2 linked regions of the Drosophila melanogaster genome follow. The protein of the gene in region 2 purifies or fractionates together with the protein of the main gene of each other region. This does not show direct contact. Each region holds a gene or a part of one and is shown on either strand. Other genes may lie near its edges.

The links.
Region 1: the proteins of jumu (region 2) and CG14742 purify together in Drosophila melanogaster (affinity purification with mass spectrometry, with the first as the bait; one large-scale study listed by BioGRID). This does not show direct contact.

What each region holds. Positions count from the first base shown.
Region 1 is NT_033777.3:12,212,610-12,216,404, reverse strand, and holds CG14742 (uncharacterized protein), read right to left. Parts: upstream 1,905-3,795; 5' UTR 1,595-1,904; coding exon 1,526-1,594; exon of another isoform or gene 979-1,525; coding exon 823-978; 3' UTR 746-822; downstream 1-745. Other genes in the region: Cog1 (component of oligomeric golgi complex 1), read left to right, coding at 452-571.
Region 2 is NT_033777.3:10,348,464-10,353,392, reverse strand, and holds the start of jumu (jumeau), read right to left. Parts: upstream 3,212-4,929; 5' UTR 2,866-3,211; coding exon 2,806-2,865; intron 1-2,805. Other genes in the region: CG31406 (uncharacterized protein), read right to left, coding at 3,484-3,597, 3,654-3,725, 3,786-3,848, 3,911-4,213, 4,276-4,473.

The DNA of each region.
Region 1 (3,795 bases), 1.9 Mb from region 2:
TTAATTAGGTGCAACTTTCTGCCGCCATTTCCCAACCACTCCTCCCTACTTCGTCCGCAAGTGGTTGGCAAAAGTTTCGCTTGAAACCCAACCCGAAATTTCCAAGTGGATGGCCAGAACATCGGCAGAATGATTATGTATATATTACGGGCGCGTATACGAGTGCCTTAGATGGTAATTAATGAATCGCTGCAATTATTGAAATCAAATCGCTGGGCAAATGTTAATTTATGGCAGTGGCTACTTGGCCGTTACTCGCATGTTTTGTAATTAGCTGCGATCTCCGCCGGTATAAATCGTTCTCTAATTATGTTTGCTTTCCATTTGTTGCTGTTCGCTGCTCGCTATAAATCTGAGAGTCCAGCGGCAAATTAACAGATTAATCAGACAAACTACCAATTAATAGTACTAATTAATTAATAACATCTCCCATTTTATCCCTCTATCTCAGACGGCGACAACGACGCCGACGAGGAAGTCGGGTGGCAATGGAGCCCGCAAGGGAGACAGCAGCAAATCCAAATCGAGCGCAGCTTCCTTCTTTGGGATGTCCCAGGAGTGGTTTCGCTAGAGGATTCAAATCAAGTGGCCTGTGAAGTGCATTCGAGCGGAATGCGGATGGGATGCTCTTCTATTGTTAAGCTTAACCTACATAAATATATCCGAACGTACTTGTAGTAGAAGAGGCGGGCAGCGCCCAGTAAATTGTAAGAAAGTCACATACATTATAGAGATACTCGTATATACACCCTGATATCACTTTTAATTTCAACTTAACTCTAAATTTGTAATTTTTAATGCGCTTTGATGTTGCCACGGTTGCTATTTCTTGCCTCCCTTCTTGCCACCGCCTGCGGCTGCCTTTTGGTCTTGTCCTTTCTTGGCTCCACCTTTGTCACCGCCGCCTCCATCGCCGCCTTTGTTTTTATTTCCGGAGCCACCTCCGCCGCCGCCTCCGCCACCACCGCCGCCCTTTTTCTGTGGGCAAAGAAACACGGAAAGATTTCGCTTTGAGCTGGGACCGAGCAAATAACGAGCCACGGTTGTTTAAGGTTGCCCAGCGAAGTCAGTAAATGAGAAAAAGGTTAGTTGTGCCAGGATTGCAATGGGGGGACCCTTGTTCCAAAGCACCAGGAGTTCTCTAATTACATACAGCAGCAGCTATTATCCGCATGATAAAATGTAATCTAACCATTATTTGTGGTCTACAATAACGTATTAATACAGGTAGCACGAAACACCTTCCTAAAAAACTGTATGCAAGGCTTAATCTCAAAGTTAATAGTTCTAGTGCACTAAAGTTTTTTTTTTTAATTTGGCAATGCTTTTATAAATTTATGTTTAGAAAGTTGGTCAACGAATTATTTTAAAATTGTTGGAAAGTAGGGATAAAGTTAAATATTGTTAAATTGCTACTTGGAAGTTTGGTGGGACCATGAGCTGAATGAGCTGGCACTAAGATGAGGATTACAAGTAGTTAGACTCACAATTAGAACGCAAGTTGCATAACACAAATATTGCTTACATTGCCCCCGCCTCCACCACCGCCACCTCCTCCTCCACCGCCGCCGCCACCACCCTTATTTTTGCCCATTCTATCAACTTCTTGGGAAGGCAATTATTTTATTTATTTGGTTTAGTTTGCGGTGCTTGCTGTTGGCTTTGGCTAGAGTAAACTTATGCCAGAGCTGGCAAATTGCAACTAATAAGCATCGCCATTGCCGCACAGCGAAATACATGAAATTAAATCATTTGGCCAGAAAAAGAAGGCCAAAATGAACGTTGAGAGCAAAACACAAAATGCGCAACAGCCAAAGGCGGAAGGGAAAGGCGCCAATGAATTTGGGCGGCAATGGGAGAGGGGAATGGGTTGATTGCGATGACCAGGGGGATTTGGCTCCGGGTAGAGGAGACCTGGCTGCAATGGCCAATGGCTCTTAACTGATTTAATCACCGCCCGGGCACCTCTCTTTGCGGCCGGAAGAAATGGGAAGTGTTTCTCTTGCGGCGACCGTTGGATTATTTTGTAGTGCTTCTCCTCCATCGCTTTTTGGCTCTTTGCTTCCGATTGCGATTTCGATTCTGTTTCTGTTTCGGTTTCGCATTTGCATTTGGCCATATGCGCCCATGGCCATGGCATTGACATTGGCCACCTCTCGCATTTCTGGTCTGCGGCCAATGGAAGGCAATACGTCGGTAATCCCACGGCTCACTCGCGAATCCCACGGATACGGACAGTGCAACAAGATGCTATTTATAGATGCAACGCGAATTGATGGTGGTGATAGCCTAGGCCAAGAGAGATTTTGGCGGATTTCAATCGGAAAGAAATGGCCCAGAAGGCGATTGAAAGCGCTAATGTATGCAGAAAGGGAAGAACAGGAAGATTGAATGAGGGAGATAAACCAAGGAACGGTAGAATTGATTATGGGTCTAGGGAAGTAATTTAATTGGAGACTATGGGCAACCTAAAAAAAAGTTAATCAGCACAGATATGCCATTTAATCTCCATCGCACTTTCTTATGTATAATATCTGATTTTTATTATTTGCATAGACTTGTTTAAAGTTGTAATATAAGTATATTGAACATATTTAATAAAGCTTACCGAATAAACTATGCATATGAATAACTTATCCGACTGTTCCTATGGCCGGTATATACATATATCATATATCTGGTTTTGATTATATAATAATCATATATTTATAATTATCTTTCAATAGACCAAAATGTAAGCATTACATTACAAATTTGGTTACTTTTATCATTGATAAATCATTTTATTAAATTAAATAGCATTTGTGTTTATCAAATTACATTGGATAACTTTAAAACGAAAAACTTACCATGCTGATTTAACTTTACTGCTTTAATTACTACGCCAGTTCAGCAGGCGGATTCCTAATTGGACTGGAATACATTTAACAGCTTTCCACCTGCCTGAGTTCCAAAGAAAACTATCCGAGTCTGATTTTCTTCATATGCTAATTACAGTTATCAAAAAGTTTTTCTGTCGCTGCCAACGGACACTGGAAACTCAATGCATACATAATGAGACATTCTACTTTTCCTGCAGCTTTTCCTTCGGCTCTCCCACTTTTCCCCCCACAACAGATGTTGGAAAATGGAGAGCGAGCAAGAGAATAAGTCGGAACACCCGTTGGTGTCAGCTAATTAAATTAGATGTTCTATATGGTGAGCCGTAAGTGAAACCGATATCATGCAATGAAAATGAAAGCACCACGACAAGGAGAACTCAACAAGTCGAAATCTGCACATGGCAACTAGCGCGGAGCCAAATTAGAAGTGAAAAGTATGAAATAAGCTCATAAAATTACGCTCACACATGCTCGGGAAAACGCATTTGCAGCAAAGGAGCTGGAAAAGGGGGAGGGAGACCCGTATCCGCAGGCGAGGCTAACAAAGTCGCAGGTCCGGACATTTGCTGCAGGTGCGGCAGGCGAAACTTGCACCTGAAAGATAAACCACCTTACCTGGCGAGCTGGACAGACACTTTGAATTTAAACGAAATGGGCGGACTTTCTGGGAATGGCTAAATACATACGGAAAAGCGAGAGAGACAGTCGGGATAAGTAAGGAATTGGCTCTGTAGAAGTGCGGAACTTTAATTAAGTTTTGGTTCTCCCAGCTGACTGACATCTTGAATTACAAATGAAAAACTTGTGTGCGGCAGCCGAAGGGAAAGTGGCCAAAGGAAACGGGTCAAAAGAAGCGACACAAAAAAGATTTAAAAAAAGTGGTATAAATAAAAATAAGAGAGAATGCTATAGT
Region 2 (4,929 bases):
AAGTTGTGCAACGAACCAAGGAGCTGCCGACGAGGGTATTTTCGTCCTTTCTCGGCAGGATTCGTCACTGGCGATGGTTGTAAGTGTTCTCCTGCATTTCCTGCATCTGCTTCGTTTCTTTTGTTGCACATATTTTCCATCTTTCTCCGCCTTTCACCTCCGAAGGAAATCACTCTGCTGACACACAGAGAAAACACAAGAAGAGATGGTAAATAATGATGGGAGGAGGATGGTAAGGAATGGAATGCAATGGAATCCCTCACTCAGGTAAAACCAACGATTTCCGTGGACCTTTCTGGACGAATCTTCCCTGAGGTCATGAGCGCCCATTTGTAAATTACTTTATGGTGCAATAAAAGTCGCTTGCCTGAATTGCCGACCGATTCCCAACGCAAAGTAACATCCTTAAACACACAGGATGATCCAGGGTCGTAAATCGTTTTCAAATCTCTCGGTTTAGCGGGAAGTAAATCGGCAGATTCTCCGGGTTATTTCATTCATTAACTGCATGTGTTTCAAGAAATCAGATTTGCCAAATGTTTATTTTTAGCCTGGAAGTCCATTTGCTGAGACTGTGAGGGTTTTTTGGGGCAATTAGTTGGTTTGGTGAGGCATCTTACGATTTTTACGAATTACACAAGCTCCATAACTTCTTTGTTCATTAACTTAATTGCCATACAAACAAACAGTTGGCTTCATGGAGATTTACATTTTCTTATAGAAAGAAGAAAGGGAGAGAAGCCAATGCATTTCTTCAAAATGCAAATGACATGTGGACACATAATAAGTTGTATTTAAATTAGTCTATATCTTACTTTGCATAGTTTCAAGTATCTTTTTGGTATTACACGATTTAGGCGCTCTGAAGTTTTATATGGGTAATAGCAACTGCCCCCAGACTAGTGTTTGTACCAATATGTGTATGGGTGTGTGTGCGCTGGGGCCGTGAGAAAATCTATGCGGCATACAGCTGGGCGCTCATATTCGGCAGCAGAGCGAAATGCAGACAAGTGGCAGTCCTCCCACAATCCTTGTGCGCCCATCTCTTTCCCACCTACTGCGCATTTTGGGGTAGGTGTGCCGCCACCCACTGAAATCGCCCCATTTGAAAGGCCCCAGTGGAAAGCGCGTTGAACTTTGAAGTTGTTCTTTGTTGGCTTTTTGCTTTGATTTTTGTTTCACTAATTTCTTTCTTTGCTGCCATGTTGCTGCAACAAAGGTTGCCGAAACCTCGGAGACGAAAGAGAACAGTGCGAAAGAGATGGAGAAGGTGGGAGAAAAGCTTTTGATGTGGGAATTATTGTCGACTGTTGCTTTTTGGTTTTCTTTTGTTCTCGCACTTACACAAGCGTACAAGATGAAACGATTTATTTTGTTTGCTTTTCTTTGTTCCCCTTCGCACACGCACACGCTTACTGGGAATTCGCAACACTTGTAGATTGTGCGTGCGTGCGTGTGTGGAGTTTTGCATGTTGCAAGTAACAGGCGCACGTGTTTTCCCAAGTCCGTTCGTTTGATTTTCTATTGAAAATGTGCAAACTTTGCTGGAGGTCAGTTCCTCTGACGGACTGACAATTTAGGCGGTCAGTTTAGCCCAAACTTCAAAGCCATACCCCCACTTTCTGGCCCAAAATCATTAGCCACTTGGTTGGACTGTGACTAAAACAGATGAAAACCGAGAGATTCGAGGTGAACGCTTGGCCTTCAAAAAGTTTAAAACGCAAAAGCCGAAGAAGAGGCCACCAGACGAAAAACTCAGCGAACCGGCGGAGAAACACACTAAAGTACTCAGCGCATATTGGCGGCCAAGGAAATAGGACTGCAAATTTATTAACCTGTGCTAAACTGTAGAATGTGATAACGTAACTCTACAGTGAATACTCGACCAGAGAAACTCTCTAACATTATACAAGTAAATTTATGCCGAAGAAATAATCCTTTTAGTTAAAAAAAAATCTTTGGTACCTTCTCCTCTCATACTGTGTTATATTATAGAGTTACTCTTTGAAAATGAAGATAAGAAATTCTTAAACCTTATAAATTGCAAGAAATAATATATTATAAGGTGTGCTATTGTTTCATCCGCCGCTGTGTGTGACAGAAAATAAATAAGCCAAATAATTGCGAATGGCTACAACAAAAGAAAGACTTGTGCTGTGTGCGCCAAAGTAAAATACTCCAAGTGTCTTAATAATACAAGTAGAATAATACAGGCAATCCCCTCCCGTGAAAAGTGAATTGATGTCCACAATTAAGTGCAAATAACAGTCGCTTAACAGAGGTGAATTCTGCGGCTAGCCGAGTTAGTAACCCCCAAAATAAACAGCAGACTTCCTCAAACGCAATGGTACTATACTTCCATTATTTTTTATCGGCGCTCCGCTGTTCCGGTTGTAATTAATCATCAATTTTTTGGGCGAAAAAGAAATTTTTCAAAGTTTAACGATCAAATGTAAACACAGACACACACACACACAAACGTTAAACGCGGCGAGGGCGAATTGGCGAGTCAACAACACAGCTTTGGAGCGAGCGAGGCGGGGAATATTTGGCCGCAGGGGCGAGCGAGATGGCGAGTGGAACCAAAGTTTCGCCGCCAAACTGTTCTTGGTGGTGGGTTTTGCTCTTCATGTCGGTATGGGAACAGTTGGGGTGTGGGGAACGTGGAGACCGAACGTTAAATTCAAAAATTGCGCCTGTCTGTGTCTCGGCACATGCGAGTGTATGGGTGCGTGTGGCCGGCCGGCGAAATGTTCGCGAAAAGTTATTATTCTCGCTTAGCTCGCCTTTTTTGTTTCAACTCACCGCATATTTGCTGAAGAATCCCTCATGTATGCCGCTCGAATAATCCTCTAGTTCGAACATGTTGAATCTTTTATGTTTTTAGCATGCACTTTGTTTTGATCGATGTTTCCGCCTGGCGAAGATTTCACCGGAATATCGTCCGCCTCTCTGCTTCTTACTGCCAATTCCAATTAACGGTTCTATTTCGAAACAGCGCACAAAAAATATATTCAGTCTCAACACCGTTGTTCCTTGGCAATCCAAGCCGTGATCTCTGCACTTTTCAAATTCTACTTCCAGCAAAAGGACATGGCGCTCGCGCTCAATATATCGCAGTTATCAGGAGCGCACAACACCGGTCTCGTATTCGAAGTCGCGGAGCAATGATAAAATAAACCCGCCCGGTCAGAATTCGAACGAAAAATGAGAGCGCCCGAGACTGGAGTGACCGTACCTCCGTTTTTGGAAAACGTTGACAATACACGGCACCGCAACCAGTGGCAGGTTGGGAGCTCGGGTAACCATTTAGCCGGGAAACGAACCCTGCGTGTAACGGCTTTTTAAAAGGTAACCTCACTGTTCGGCATTCTTTGTTATTAGGTATTCTTAATTATTTATATTTATATTTTTGCTTATAAAAGCAACTAAAATCAATTTTGAACTTTAAAAACAAAAACAATTAACGCAACGTGATACAAATTATTCGGCTTGATGTTCGATGTGATCTTTTCCAGCTTTTTGAATGTCATTACACTTTTTGGACTTGTGCTCCCTTGTCGACTTCTTTAGGCTTGGTTTCATATTTGGATTTGCCTAAAATTGGAATTTTATAAATACTAATATTATTAGTATCTGTATCTTCATTTTACATTATCGTTTGTCGCTGCTTCTGGAGTTTTGGAAGCCAGTAGTTTTTTATCCTTCTTTAATGTGCTTGTTTTCTAAATATATTATATATTTTATAATATTTTAATATATGCATATCTTTTGATATTTCTTACTTCATTTTCATTCGAATTTTGTGCCTGCAGTTGCTTCCCATCCTTCCTTTTTGTTCCTGTTTTCTAAATATTTTATATTTTGTAATGTTTGAACAAATATTTTTATATCTTTGGATATTTCTTACTTCATTTTCGATAGATTCTTGTGCGTCTAGAAGATTTGCAGCCACCTTGACACACTGACGTGCAGCCGGAAGTTTCTTCACATTTTTCTTGGGCACAGGAGGTCCTTCTTCATTCATTTCATTAGATGCTTGTTCCTCCAAAAGATTTGCAGCCGCGTCGGCGCACGGAAGTGCAGCCTGCAGTTTCTTAACATTCTTCTTGGGTGCAGGAGTTTCTTTGGACCTCGCTGCTTCTGTATTTTGGACTGTGGAACTCAATTTGGAATCCAGTTGCTTTCCATCCTTCCTTTGGGTTCCTGTGTTCTAAATATTTTATATTTTGTAATGTTTGAACAAATATTTATATATCTTTGGATATTTCTTACTTCATTTTCGTTAGGTTCTTGTGCGTCTAGAAGATTTGCAGCCACCTTGACACACTGACGTGCAGTCGGCAATTTCTTAACATTCTTCTTGGGCACAGGAGGTCCTTTGGTCCTCGAAGATTCTGCTAGGATGTTCTGGTCAGATAAGGTCAGCACTTGGTTCTGCTTCTTCGTAGCTGCACTGCGAGTAACCACCATTTTCGGTTCAAAGCTAACGTAGAAAATTCAAAAAATCAAGATAATGGAAATTTGGTGTAGATTCAAGCGAAGTGCAATAAGATGTGGGAATTTCAGTAAAAAGGTAAATAGGTTATTTGGTTAGTGGCGCGACACTAGACAACCAGGCTACTTCCAAACACGAAGTCACAAATTTAAAAATATCTGAAATATTTTTCCCAAAGATATATAACCACTTAATAAACTTATAATAACCACTTAAGTTCAGTCGCAGGAAATAAAGCCCTTAGCTTGCAGTTCATTTATTAAAAATTATAATATTATATATTATAATTATAAAAATTATATATATATATATAGTGACGTATTTGGGTGGTCCAAACCAGCCACTTCCATTATTTCAAAGAAATCAGTAATGCACTCTAGTAATTTTCCATAACGTATCCCAGCTGCGCAGCATTCGTTTATCTTTGGCAG